Linked DNA regions of Drosophila melanogaster. The protein of the gene in region 2 interacts with the protein of the main gene of each other region in a pairwise test. Each region holds a gene or a part of one and is shown on either strand. Other genes may lie near its edges. The genes, in order: Abi and Hem.

The links.
Region 1: the proteins of Hem (region 2) and Abi interact in a two-hybrid assay, tested with the Drosophila melanogaster proteins (2 studies listed by BioGRID).

What each region holds. Positions count from the first base shown.
Region 1 is NT_033777.3:14,118,750-14,124,386, forward strand, and holds Abi (abelson interacting protein), read right to left. Parts: upstream 3,672-5,637; 5' UTR 3,529-3,671; intron 3,501-3,528; exon of another isoform or gene 3,364-3,500; 5' UTR 3,353-3,363; coding exon 2,997-3,352; intron 2,721-2,996; coding exon 2,098-2,720; intron 2,037-2,097; coding exon 1,946-2,036; intron 1,874-1,945; coding exon 1,862-1,873; intron 1,724-1,861; coding exon 1,536-1,723; intron 1,480-1,535; coding exon 1,316-1,479; 3' UTR 513-1,315; downstream 1-512. Other genes in the region: twf (twinfilin), read left to right, coding at 3,963-3,987, 4,047-4,124, 4,226-5,001, 5,286-5,438.
Region 2 is NT_037436.4:22,283,578-22,289,991, forward strand, and holds Hem (HEM-protein), read right to left. Parts: upstream 4,619-6,414; 5' UTR 4,411-4,618; coding exon 3,231-4,410; intron 3,166-3,230; coding exon 965-3,165; 3' UTR 777-964; downstream 1-776. Other genes in the region: IleRS (Isoleucyl-tRNA synthetase), read left to right, coding at 5,220-5,362, 5,427-6,414. UniProt on the Drosophila melanogaster protein: Plays a role during growth of the oocyte.

The DNA.
Region 1 (5,637 bases), on a different chromosome or scaffold from region 2:
ACTCCAATAATTGTTCACAAATAAAGGTATTTCCATATTTATGTATGTATAGTTGAGGGGCCCAAAAAGTGGGCAACAATTTAGCACATTTTATGCAAATCATGCCAGCACTCCACTTTTTTCTGGCATTTCCGCCACGTCAACTCCTCGAAACCTGATAATAAATTTAGCAAATGGGTAAAAAACCTTCCACATATCACCACGAAAGCATTAATTTACCCGGAGCCGAGTTATGGAAAAGTTTTCCGGGACGAGACATTGAATTGAAATCGGTTTGTAGAGCAAAGTGTCGATTATAATGGATTGATTGACTGACTGAATGACCCCAATGAGTGTTGGCATTTGCAAATATTTCAAGCCTTCCATCACACGACTTGAAATTTGCATTTGAGATTTCGAATTTGAATTTGGCAGGCCACAGAGCCTTGCCCCAATTACGGATTTTTACTGACATCCGGGGCTCGACTCACGAGAAGGTCAGCGCAAATTACACGGTCATAGAACAAGGGCTTGCGGTTTAGTAATTGAAATTTTTATTAGCTATTATTTTTACCATATAGAGCGTATGTGTACTTGTATTGTTTAATTTAATTTGATTCCTTTGCTGGCAATTCCATTTTAACTAAACGTTCGCAAAAAAAAGACATCGTTGCGGTTCGTAAAAGTATAAACAAAAGTTCCAACTGGCCAATACTTAAGTATTAAATGCTAACTGAAATTTATATAACCTACAGTATTGCTGGGGGCATAGGTTCGGGTAGTATTGGTGTATAATAGCCGGGCATATCAAAGCGCAAGGCAAACAGAAATCGCTTGATAAAACTGTGAGCAAATATTTAAAGTATTTGGATTGGCGGCAGGAGCAGGACAGAATTCGTCTACGGTTGTGGAACAGTTTTATAATATCGCATAAGTTATTCACGGGTATCCGGTTTCACTTTCCCCTTCTTGCATCGTTTTCGGCTACTAAAGTGTAAATAGTTTTAGTTGGGCAGCAAGCGGTATCCCTAGCCCGTGGATTCTGTGTGTTTGTGTGCTCGTTTATATTAGACTAAATGCGGTTGGCTGATGCTAATGGAATTCGCTTTCTCTGGCCTGCTGTGCTTGTGTAGGTGTGTAATTGTATAATTGTCCTTATTAATATGCTCAAAATCTTATCGTCATTGTCAGCTGAGTCTGTTGCGGTCCTCAGTCTAACTCTCCGATAACTGAATTGAAATTTTTTGGAGCTCTTGAGAAGCAGCAGAGGACTGGAACAGACCAGATGATGCAGATTATTGTAATGGTTGGCATGTTTAGAATATCGATGCGAGGCTTAGACACAAGGCTCTACGTAGTTGCCCGGAAACAGACCGGTAACACCATCCATGACGCCCTCCCACCAGCCGTCGTCGTTTTTCTTGAGCACGTACAGCACTGAGCTTTCCTGGAAGCTCAGCTCGTCGTCCTTGTCGGCATAGTAGTCGTAAATGGCTACCACTGGAATGTTTGTAAGAATTAGTAAGGTATATTGTTAGTTGCTCCAATCAGCCTACCCTTCTCAATGAAGTTCTTGGGCACCCAGCCGGGTAAGTTCTGATCCTCGGGCACTATGGGCGCCAGCTGCGGTCCCGTCGATGTGCGTGGTCGTCCGAAGTCTTGATGCTCATCCTCCGGCGGCGGCGGAGGTGGCAAGGGAGGCGACTGTGAGCCGGGACGAGCGAAGTTCAAGCTGAAGTGATTCCTTTGGAAAAATACGCGTTTAATATACAAGATAACATATGAATTTCATGGAGTTATACACAGTACAAACACGAAAACCTAGTATAACTTTTTTTAGCTGAGTATAACCCTATGATAAACAGAGAAACATGCAATTTACCTATTTGGATTCCTGGATTTGCACAGAGAACAATAAATAGGTTATATTTACACAAAGAAGGGATTGCATTTTCCAGAAACTTACCTGTTGATATTGCGTCCCAAAGTGTGCATGCCAATGTGACTCTGCTCGGTCATCTCGTGCTGCGAAACCGTAAGTGGTGAAGGAGGAGCTGCTACGAATTGCAAACCGCATTATTAGTATTGAGCTATTGCAGAATAATCAAATTAACTCACGTGGCATGCTGCTGCGATCGTCGTACGTAGTGGGCGGCGGTGGTGGCAGCGATTGCATCATGCCCGCGGAGGGCAGGTTTACATGTGTGGCTATCTGCTGGCTGGGTGGCATCGGAAGTGCACTGTAGCCAGCAGCTCGTTCATTGCCCGCCGCTCCGCCGCCTGTGGTGGTGGTAGTCATCGTTGAAGAAGCCGTCGACATTCGCTTTGGATGCCCAATAGGATAGTTGGGAGCGTAGTGCGATGGCACCTGTGGTGGATTGACCACAGGCGGAGTGCGGTACTCCCGCGAACTCTTGCCCAGTGTCCCGGTATTGCTGACCGACTTGCCCAGTGTGCCAGTGTTCCCAGCTCGCGACATCTGCGGCGGAGTTGGGGGCTTCGTGGTTGGCGGAGGTCCCACCGACGGCGGCAATAAGGATTGCACGGACCCATGGCTGGAGCCCCGATGTTTCTGTCGCACCTGCGAGTGCTGGGCCGAGTTAATGCCGTGGCCAATCTCGTCCAACATCGAGTAGTCGATGGGCTTGCGCACATACTTGATGGGCTTCTCCGGATTGATGGGCGCCACGATCTTAAACTGGCGCGAGCTCACCTTGTTAGCCGTAAGCACGCCAATCTCTCTGAGAAAAGACAATGAAGATAATCAAAAATAATTAATACAAATAAAGTGAATTGAAAAAACTAAATAGTTATGTAGGAAAAGAATGAAGAAAGAGACGTTCAGTCTTATCAGCACGTCTGACGACGCATGTATGAATGTACATTTCTTCTCTATGAAGCTTTTATCACCGATGAGTCGTACTTACAGACAAAAATGTTCATTCCGTATTCTTTGTCGTTTTAAAATATGCATATCCCCTTTTCCTATTCTAGTTTAAGCAATTTGTTGTTCTTACCTCCTGGCCACCTTCTCCTTGTGGATATGCACCGTCTGGGCGATGTGGTTCATCTGGGACTCCATCTCGCCGAGCTGCTGGGCCTGAAGCTCGAGGAGCTGCATGTAGCTATAGGCGAGCGTGTTAATCTGGTAGGCCACGCTGGCCAGCGACTGGGTGGTGTAGTTCTTGGTGGCCTCCAGGGCCGCCTTCTTGTTGTCCGCGCGGTAGTAGGTGTCCTCGCAGTAGTCGGCCACCCGCTCCAGGTTCGTGTAGCTGTCCCGCAGACTCTGGCGGCCATCGGGGATCTCGGTGCGTATCAGAGAGGCTAGTTCGTCCATGATGTTCTCGCTGGCCATGGGGGTTTCGGTCAACATGGGTGTGGATGCTGCGGGCAAACGGGAAACGAAAACCCAATTAAATTCCTCGCTTTTCCGCACTTTTCACGCCCGTAAACATTTGGGGCGTGGGCTGGCCTCTGCCGACGTCGACGCCCAGCTGCTCCAGTTGATCGCTGGAGCGGTTTAATCGGACGAATCTCGCGTGCACTCACTTTATTGACTATGCGATTGCACAACAGATGCTTTTCCGGGCTAGTTGCTACGTTTTAAATGCAGTTAAATGCAGTTTTTCATTACATTTTCCGTGAAAAAAGAAAGAACGCTGGCCTGTGCTGCAAAGTACTGGAGCTTGAAGAATTTTTCAACACTGTATCAGTGCAGACACATTTGGTATTATTTTTGAAATGTATGTTCTATAAAACAGAGTGTTAAAAATTTTCCCAAAATTTAGTTATAAAAATAGCATTACAGTATCTTTTTAATTAATAATTCTTTTTTTTTTACACATTTAAAGCCGCTTTGAAGTGATTGCCAATCAGAATCGGTACATATTTCCCGGTTTAGTATTTCCCTACTCGCGCTTTGCGGTCACACTGGTTGTGAGTAATATATTTTTTCGGCAATATTAATTTTAGCTGTTGTCCAAATGTCTCACCAAACGGGTATCCGAGGTTTGTTATCTTTGGGAACCACCTAATCCGCATCCTTAGAACACCCTTTGTATTTTCAGCCAACGAGCAGCTGGCCAAGGTGTTCGGCAAAGCGAAGAATGGTAAATTTCGCGTGATAAAAGTTTCGATCGAGAATGGTGAGTGGATTTAATCCAGAAACGTATATACACAAGATATATACTAGGCATACGATTTGATAACGAACCCGCATCCGTTTTCACCCCGCCCCAAATTACAGAGCAGCTTAGTTGCGGCGCCACGGCGGAGACGAAAAAGGATTGGGAGCGCGACTACGACAAGCTTATAGGTCCCCTACTGGAAAAGGATGTGCCCTGCTATATTCTCTATCGCCTGGACGCCAAGATCCCGCTGGGCTACAGTTGGCTACTTATCAGCTGGACGCCGGACACGGCCAGCATCCGACAGAAGATGGTATACGCTTCCACGAAGGCCACGTTGAAAACGGAGTTCGGATCAGCATACATCACAGAGGAGCTGCATGCCACCACTCTGGATGAGTGCACGCTGGAGGGCTATCGCCGGCACAAGCAGGATTTCGCAGCCCCAGCTCCATTGACCAGCAGGGAGGAGGAGCTGAAAGAGCTGCGAAAGACAGAGGTTCACACTGAGATCAATACGAATACGCGGCACCAAACTCTGGGTGGGATCAATTGCCCGCTGAGCGAGGCAACCGTGGCTGCCGTTCAGGATTTGGTGCGCGGCAAGCACGACTACCTTCAGTTCCGCATCGATCTGGAGGAGGAACAGATCCATGTTTCGCGTGCGGCCAAAGTGGAGCTCGCCGATCTGCCGAAGCAAGTGCCCGAGGATCATGCACGATACCACCTCTTCCTGTTTCGGCACACGCACGAGGGCGACTACTTTGAGTCGTACGTGTTCGTCTACTCCATGCCTGGATATTCCTGCTCCGTGCGCGAGCGCATGATGTACTCAAGCTGTAAGGCTCCTTTTCTCGACGAGCTCGCGGCCCTTGGCGTGGAGGTTGTTAAGAAGGTGAGTTGATATGAATGCGAGTGGGTGTGGCTGCGCTAATAGCACTAAAGATTAGGGCTATAAAAAGCAAAAGCAGGGTATATATTGTTTGTGATTTATTTATTGCTTTCAAATCGCCACATTCACTATACTTTTGATTCACGATCTCTAGAAATATTTTGAATCATAATTAGGGCGAATGTCTCACTTTTCACTTGAAATAGAAATCTGTAAATCATAAATAATGAGTAATTTTAAATCATACTAAATCTGATTCATGTTTCTAACAACGTTTTACATTTCAGCTTGAAATCGACAGCGGCAGCGAGCTGACCGAAGCCTTCTTGCAGGACGAGCTGCACCCAAAGAAGATTCTACACCGACCGGCTTTTGCCAAGCCCAAGGGGCCACCAAACCGAGGCGCCAAGCGCCTCACGCGTCCCACCGCAGAGGACTAAGTCTGAATCCCGATCCCACCGAGTCAATTCTGTTTATCGCCCTTCTACGTACTGTTTCCTAGCAGAGCATTTAATTTATTGTATCCAATCGTTTATTTCTTTTGTGTTGTGTCTATCCCGTGTCTATATGTGTCCGTACGTCAGTCGATATCTTTAGAGGCACTAGGCATCAACTGAAACATCGCATAGCAGCCGCCAA
Region 2 (6,414 bases):
ACTGACTGACTGAAAAGGAATACATTTTCATGCGAAACCAAGTAAAACCAAATCAGTGAGAAATGCTAAATAGATTGTACGAACTAGCAAAATATTCAGCATCACATAAATAACAATACCTTCTATAATATTAATAAGCAAGTATGTGTATAATTAACGAAACCCCATTGTAGATATCGAGAATGTTCACAAATACAGATGTAAACTCAAATATTGACAGCTTTTTAGCAGAGTGTAGTGATTTTGGTACATTTAACCGAACCCATTTGTAGATGTTTAGGCCTATGTTGATTACGAGCAGATTTGAAAAGATGCCCTACTTACCCGATTTCGGTTTGCAAAACTTATCATTTAACCATCCGTGAAAAAGAACCTATCCCAGATCATGTAATTCAAAAAGAATTAAAAACAATAATAAATCATTGCATAAAAGTCTTTGTATCGGAATTGAAAACTCAAAATCGAAATTTAAATACTACCAATGATAACTACTGAGAAATCATATTACAAAATAACGAAAACATATTTTACTACTTGCCTACAAGTATTTGTACACAAGCCTACAAAGTAACATTGAACGTGACCAAATAATTTAATATTGCGGAAGATTTTTCCCCCAAACTCATATTTAATATACACACACGTGTGCGCATGTGTCCAAATGAAATTTAACAGAAATTGAAGCGGAGGAGCTGCACGTTCGCGGGAGTGGACACATATTTCAATAAGCCGAAATAAAGAATATACATACCGATCCGATCTAGAGACAGCTTATTAATGTGGGATACTTATTTGGGTTGTATAAGCACTTTATTCGAAGTCGTACGAGTATAAAAATGCAGAGTCTAGAATACATTTGGGTATGTTTAACAGTTTTAAAGTATGTTAGATTAGCATAGTGATCGATAGTCGATCGGCGGATAAACTACATAAGCATTATGTGGAATACACAGATCGGCTCCATTTAGAGTGCCAGCCCTAAGATCTGTTCCTGCTTGTATACGCCATGGTACGCGTTGCGTATAAGCACGTAGGGAAAGCAGGACTCAAGCAGATCCATTGTGAGGAAGGGCGATTGTTTGACGATTTCGTCCAGCAGCAAATAGATGGACTCTCGGTTCCGTGTCGCCTCTTTGTCGGACTCCTGGCCCAAGCGCAGTAGGGAAGAACTGGCCAGAGCAAGGAACTCTTTCATGCGGTCCTCCATGTCACTTTGACCGCAGATGGTAAACAGGGCTCCGAAGATGTTATTAATGGCCGCCGCCATGCAGTGCGTGTTATTTGAGTGGCCATCAATTGTGGCTCTGTAGAAGGAATTTTCGTTACGGGCCAGTTTTGGTATAGACACTGCCACAAAGACCATCAGTAGACAGGCAGTGAGGTGCTCACCCTCATCGAATTCTGGCTTTTTTGATTTCAGTGTAGTTGCTAATGTGGGGTCTACCTTGCATAGCAGACCCGCTGCTGAGGCCATCTCGGAAGCAACCCTAATTTGGTCGCCTCCGGGCAAATGTTCCTGAAAGTCCTTCACTGAGCTAAGCAGGAAGGGTATGCGCTTGTCCAGCACATCAACGAGGGCTTCATGCACCAGGTTGCGGAAACATATGATCACACCAATGATCGTCATGCGTTGCAGCACGCGGTCCACGTCCTGTAAGCGCTTAAATTGCTCCTTCATCACTTCAGGTTTGTCAAAACTGGTTCGCAGTGTAATGAGCACTTCCTTGTTGGTGCTCACCAGCGACTTCAACTCTTGCACCTGGTTTGCTATGTGCCACATAAGTGTTTCGTTCAATGTTTTGATACCGTAAGGTCCCACAAGTTCTGCAAGTGCTCGCAGCTCGTTGAGATCAGAGAATTCCTGCGGGTTAAATGGTACCCAGCCCTCGGGCGAAATGGGAACAAAAGCCTTTTGGTTAATGGAGAACACAATGTTGCCAGCGGAGACACGCCTTAGCAGAACCTCACTGTACCAGGTGTTGTACAAAGCGGCAATGGTTTTCTCGCCATGAGAGTCTAAAGCCTGTGTTTGCTGCAACAGGCAGTTGTTGAAAACTCGTGTTATGTCTATGTGCACGTAGTTCTCTACTGTCTGCAGCACGTTCATGTAGGCTCGAACGCTGGCCAGCAGCTCCGAGGGCTTGGCTATCTCCATTGTCTCCTGGTTGAACATCACCATGCCAACAAGATCCCGGGAAAAGCGGTGTTCCAGGTTCTGACAGAGATACTCGCGAGGGGCAAAAGCAAACTCCCAAACGTTGACCGTGGGGCAATAATTGATTGCAAAACAAAGCTCCGTCAGGGCCATGTGCAACTTGTCCATCGTCGTCAGATCCTCTCGTGTCTTTCGGTACGACTCGTCTCCCGGCTTTCGTATGTCGTCAAAATGCTTAGACTTCGATTTGTCCTTCTTCTTACGAGCAGATTGTACGGAAAGAATCTTAGCACAGTGTTTTGGCAATAGAGCGTCTGCCATTGTGCACTGCTCATCGCAAATTGTGGTTATAATGTTTTTAGCCTCCTTAGCCATTTCCTCAAGAAATATATTTACCACGCTGAGAGACCTTTCACGTATATGGTGTCGCTCCTCCGGGCACATTTCGTGCGTACAATTTTGGAAGTGGCTGCAGATTAAGGGAAACGCTATGATGTAGCGGTTCTGCGCGGGAAACTCCAAGCACATGTGGAATTGGTCGTCAAACATTTTGTTATAGAAACAGAAGATACTGAGATCCGAGGTTTCTACTAGTATTTCGTCCAAGTTATCTACCACCCTAGTGTGGAAAACCATTGAATCCAGTAGGCGGGCCAGCTCTGCATGCTCTGCGATCCTAAGTGCAGCCTTTCCCACACTCATGTACGTTTGGAGGCGGAACCAGTCCAGGCGGAATGGTCGGAAATAAAAGAGTTCGTTGTCTTCCACCTGCTTAACTGTCAGGGCTGCAGCCGTGTTGTAGAGCGAACTGAAGATTATGCTTTCGTCTTCTGGACACATTTGCAGACTTTGCATTCGAATATTAAGATCCGTGGCATCGAATCCGGACAAGTATTGCACGTAATATCGCTGCATTACCTGGCTGTATTTACGCACAAGAGCGCGGAGTTCCTCCATGTGGAATAAGAGCTCCGGCAGCTGTCGGTCTACAAGATCTTCATTGCTCTTTCCTATAAATTTAAAATAGTTAAGGTTCACAAATTTTAATTTAATCGTAAGAAAATCCTTAACTAACCTTTATTTTTGAGAAGAGGTGGGTTGTCATTATGCCTGAGGAGCCATAGAATCTCATCGCGCGCAAGACAAAGACCGATGAAAATGAATATTGCCTTAGGTCCCAGGAGGCCTGGTTGGTCGGTCATAATAAGAGCTAGCTCCTTCAAGGCTGTTCGAAGAAACTTGCGCCGCTCCCGATGCATTAAAGCAGCTTTTTGAACCGCCGTGTTGTAGGCTTCCTTTACTTCTCCGATCCGCTTGCTGTAACCTTTAATTCCGTCGAAAGTAGCCTGAATGTATTGATGAATTTGCAGGACCTCGTCGCGGAACAAGGCCACAACCCAGCTTGACTCCAGGGCGGAGAGCCAGATTTTGTTGACTTCCGGGTACTGTCCGAGCATTTGATGGTTCAGCAGCAAGCCAAAGATTATCCAGCGGTCCATTGCCTCCAGGGATATGTACTCGCAGGACATGGTGTCAGTGCGGACGGCCTTAAGAAGAATGGCCGGATTGCCTACCAGACTCAACTTTTGCATTTCCCTCCACTTGTCTGCTGGCAGGTTTCGCAGTGCATAGATGGAGGTCAGCGACCGCAACGCACTGGTTAGCAGGCGCTGGTGGGGAATGAATTCCTCGGCCAACTTTTTTAAGGGGACCTCGTAGTCCAGAATCATCTGCCCCAAGCGGGGGAAGCCCGTGTCCGCCTGATTGTTTTGCAGCTCGTAGGCGGCATTGTACAAGCCCAGAACTGCCTTGCGGTCCTCGACCCTAGACAAAACAATCATCAAGGACACGTAGGTCACAACCAAGTCCAGATAATATTTGGTCAGCTCGAAGTTCAATGTGATGTCCAGGTGAATCTGGCAGGCGTCCATCGTGGTGAGCAGTTCGCATACATTGTCCTTGAAATCAAGTAGGTCCACGAATGTGTGGTAATACAGGGACAGCGACTTAATAATCTCCGCTTTGATGTTTACAATAGCATTGAGCCCTTTGACGTCGATGTTGGGGAACCGCTTCACGATAAACTTGATGCTCGATTCCAACGACTTCTCGGAGAGGAAGCCTGGCTTCGACTTGGTGTCGCCGCATGCTTTCTTGATGTTGTATATCCGCGTAAGAATGCCCAGGCCGCGGTCATTCAAGATGATTAGTTTCTCAGCTATCTTCTGCTGGTTCGGAAAAATTGGGCGTGCCATATCCGATGACTGTTGGCGACGTCGAATGGCTGAAGGCGAGTTTCCGGTGGAGCCCAGAACACAGGTGTGCGCTGGCGAGACGTATTGGGAGGCGTGCAAGTGCTGATTTGCCCAGTACTTATACTTTTTCGTTTGTTAAATTGGCCGAAAAGGAGCGACACAAAAGTGTACACATTACTCTTCCTCTTGTTTTCGCGTTAGTGATGACCAATGGGCTGATAGCAAAGATATATTGCTATCGATAACGATAGCTACCATATATATGCTAAACTATTGATTGTTAAAAAGAAAATATACTGCTGAGAAAAAAAACATATGGCTTAATATAATTTAAGATAATTTTTTTATAATTATATATTACAGTAATTTGGTTATACTACAAATTAATAATAGCTGGTATTTGGGGTTTTAATTTATTAGAATTATTTGTCTAAGTCAGGAATAATTGCTTTCAAAACTATTGCATAGTTTATTCATTCAATTGCCAATGGCTTTCTTACTTAGTAACTTACAGTTCAGTTTTTTATTCTTATGGCTAACAAATTTATTAAAGTTGTTAATAGTAAATAAGCCTTTCTTTTTTTTTCAGTGCTGTCGTCAGCTGATTATCAAGGATGCCGCTCATCGGAACCTACTATCGATATCGCGAACCCATGAGCTAGAGAGCGATTAATGAACCACTAGTTCCGTACCTCGGGCACGTTGTGTGCCACGCAAAAACGCCGCAAGTCAGTTGAATTTCTGATATAAAAGGTGGGCGAATAAGCTCTGTTACTTGATAAATAATACAACAGTGAACTTTGACAGCCATGGGAAAAAAACTAGAGCGGAACGACGTGTGTCGGGTGCCAGAGAACATTAATTTCCCGGCCGAGGAGGAGAACGTACTGCAGAAATGGCGACACGAAAATATCTTTGAAAAGTGCAGCCAGCTGTCGAAGGGAAAGCCCAAGTAAGTGCCGCATACGATTGCATCAGCCGATCGCCAAATTTTGTGCTAATTTTCCACCTCCAAGATACACGTTCTACGATGGACCGCCCTTTGCAACCGGGCTGCCCCACTACGGACACATTCTTGCTGGCACCATCAAGGACATCGTCACACGGTACGCATACCAGCAGGGATACCATGTGGACCGTCGCTTCGGCTGGGATTGCCACGGACTGCCCGTGGAGTTCGAGATTGACAAGCTGCTGAATATCAAGGGTCCTGAGGACGTGGCCAAGATGGGAATCGCAGCCTACAATGCCGAGTGCCGGAAGATTGTCATGCGTTACGCAGATGAGTGGGAGAATGTGGTGACGCGCGTGGGTCGCTGGATTGACTTCAAGAACGATTACAAGACGTTGTACCCATGGTACATGGAGTCCATTTGGTGGATCTTCAAGCAACTGTTCGACAAGGGTCTGGTCTACCAGGGCGTTAAGGTGATGCCCTATTCCACCGCCTGCACAACGTCCCTTTCGAACTTCGAGGCCAACCAAAACTACAAGGAGGTTGTGGACCCTTGCGTAGTAGTTGCACTGGAGGCCGTTTCGTTGCCCAATACCTTCTTCCTAGTGTGGACCACCACGCCATGGACACTGCCCTCAAACTTCGCATGCTGTGTTCATCCGACGATGACCTATGTAAAAGTGCGCGACGTAAAGAGCGACCGACTTTTTGTTCTCGCAGAGTCTCGTCTCTCTTACGTGTACAAATCGGAGACGGAGTACGAAGTGAAGGAAAAGTTTGTTGGCAAAACCCTTAAGGACCTTCACTACAAGCCGCTTTTCCCTTACTTTGCGAAGCGAGGAGCTGAGGTGAAAGCTTATCGTGTCCTGGTCGACGAGTACGTGACTGAGGATTCCGGTACGGGTATTGTGCACAATGCTCCCTACTTCGGAGAAGACGATTATCGTGTGTGCCTCGCTGCGGGCCTCATCACAAAGTCCAGTGAGGTTCTCTGCCCAGTGGACGAGGCAGGACGGTTTACTAACGAGGCAAGCGATTTCGAGGGCCAA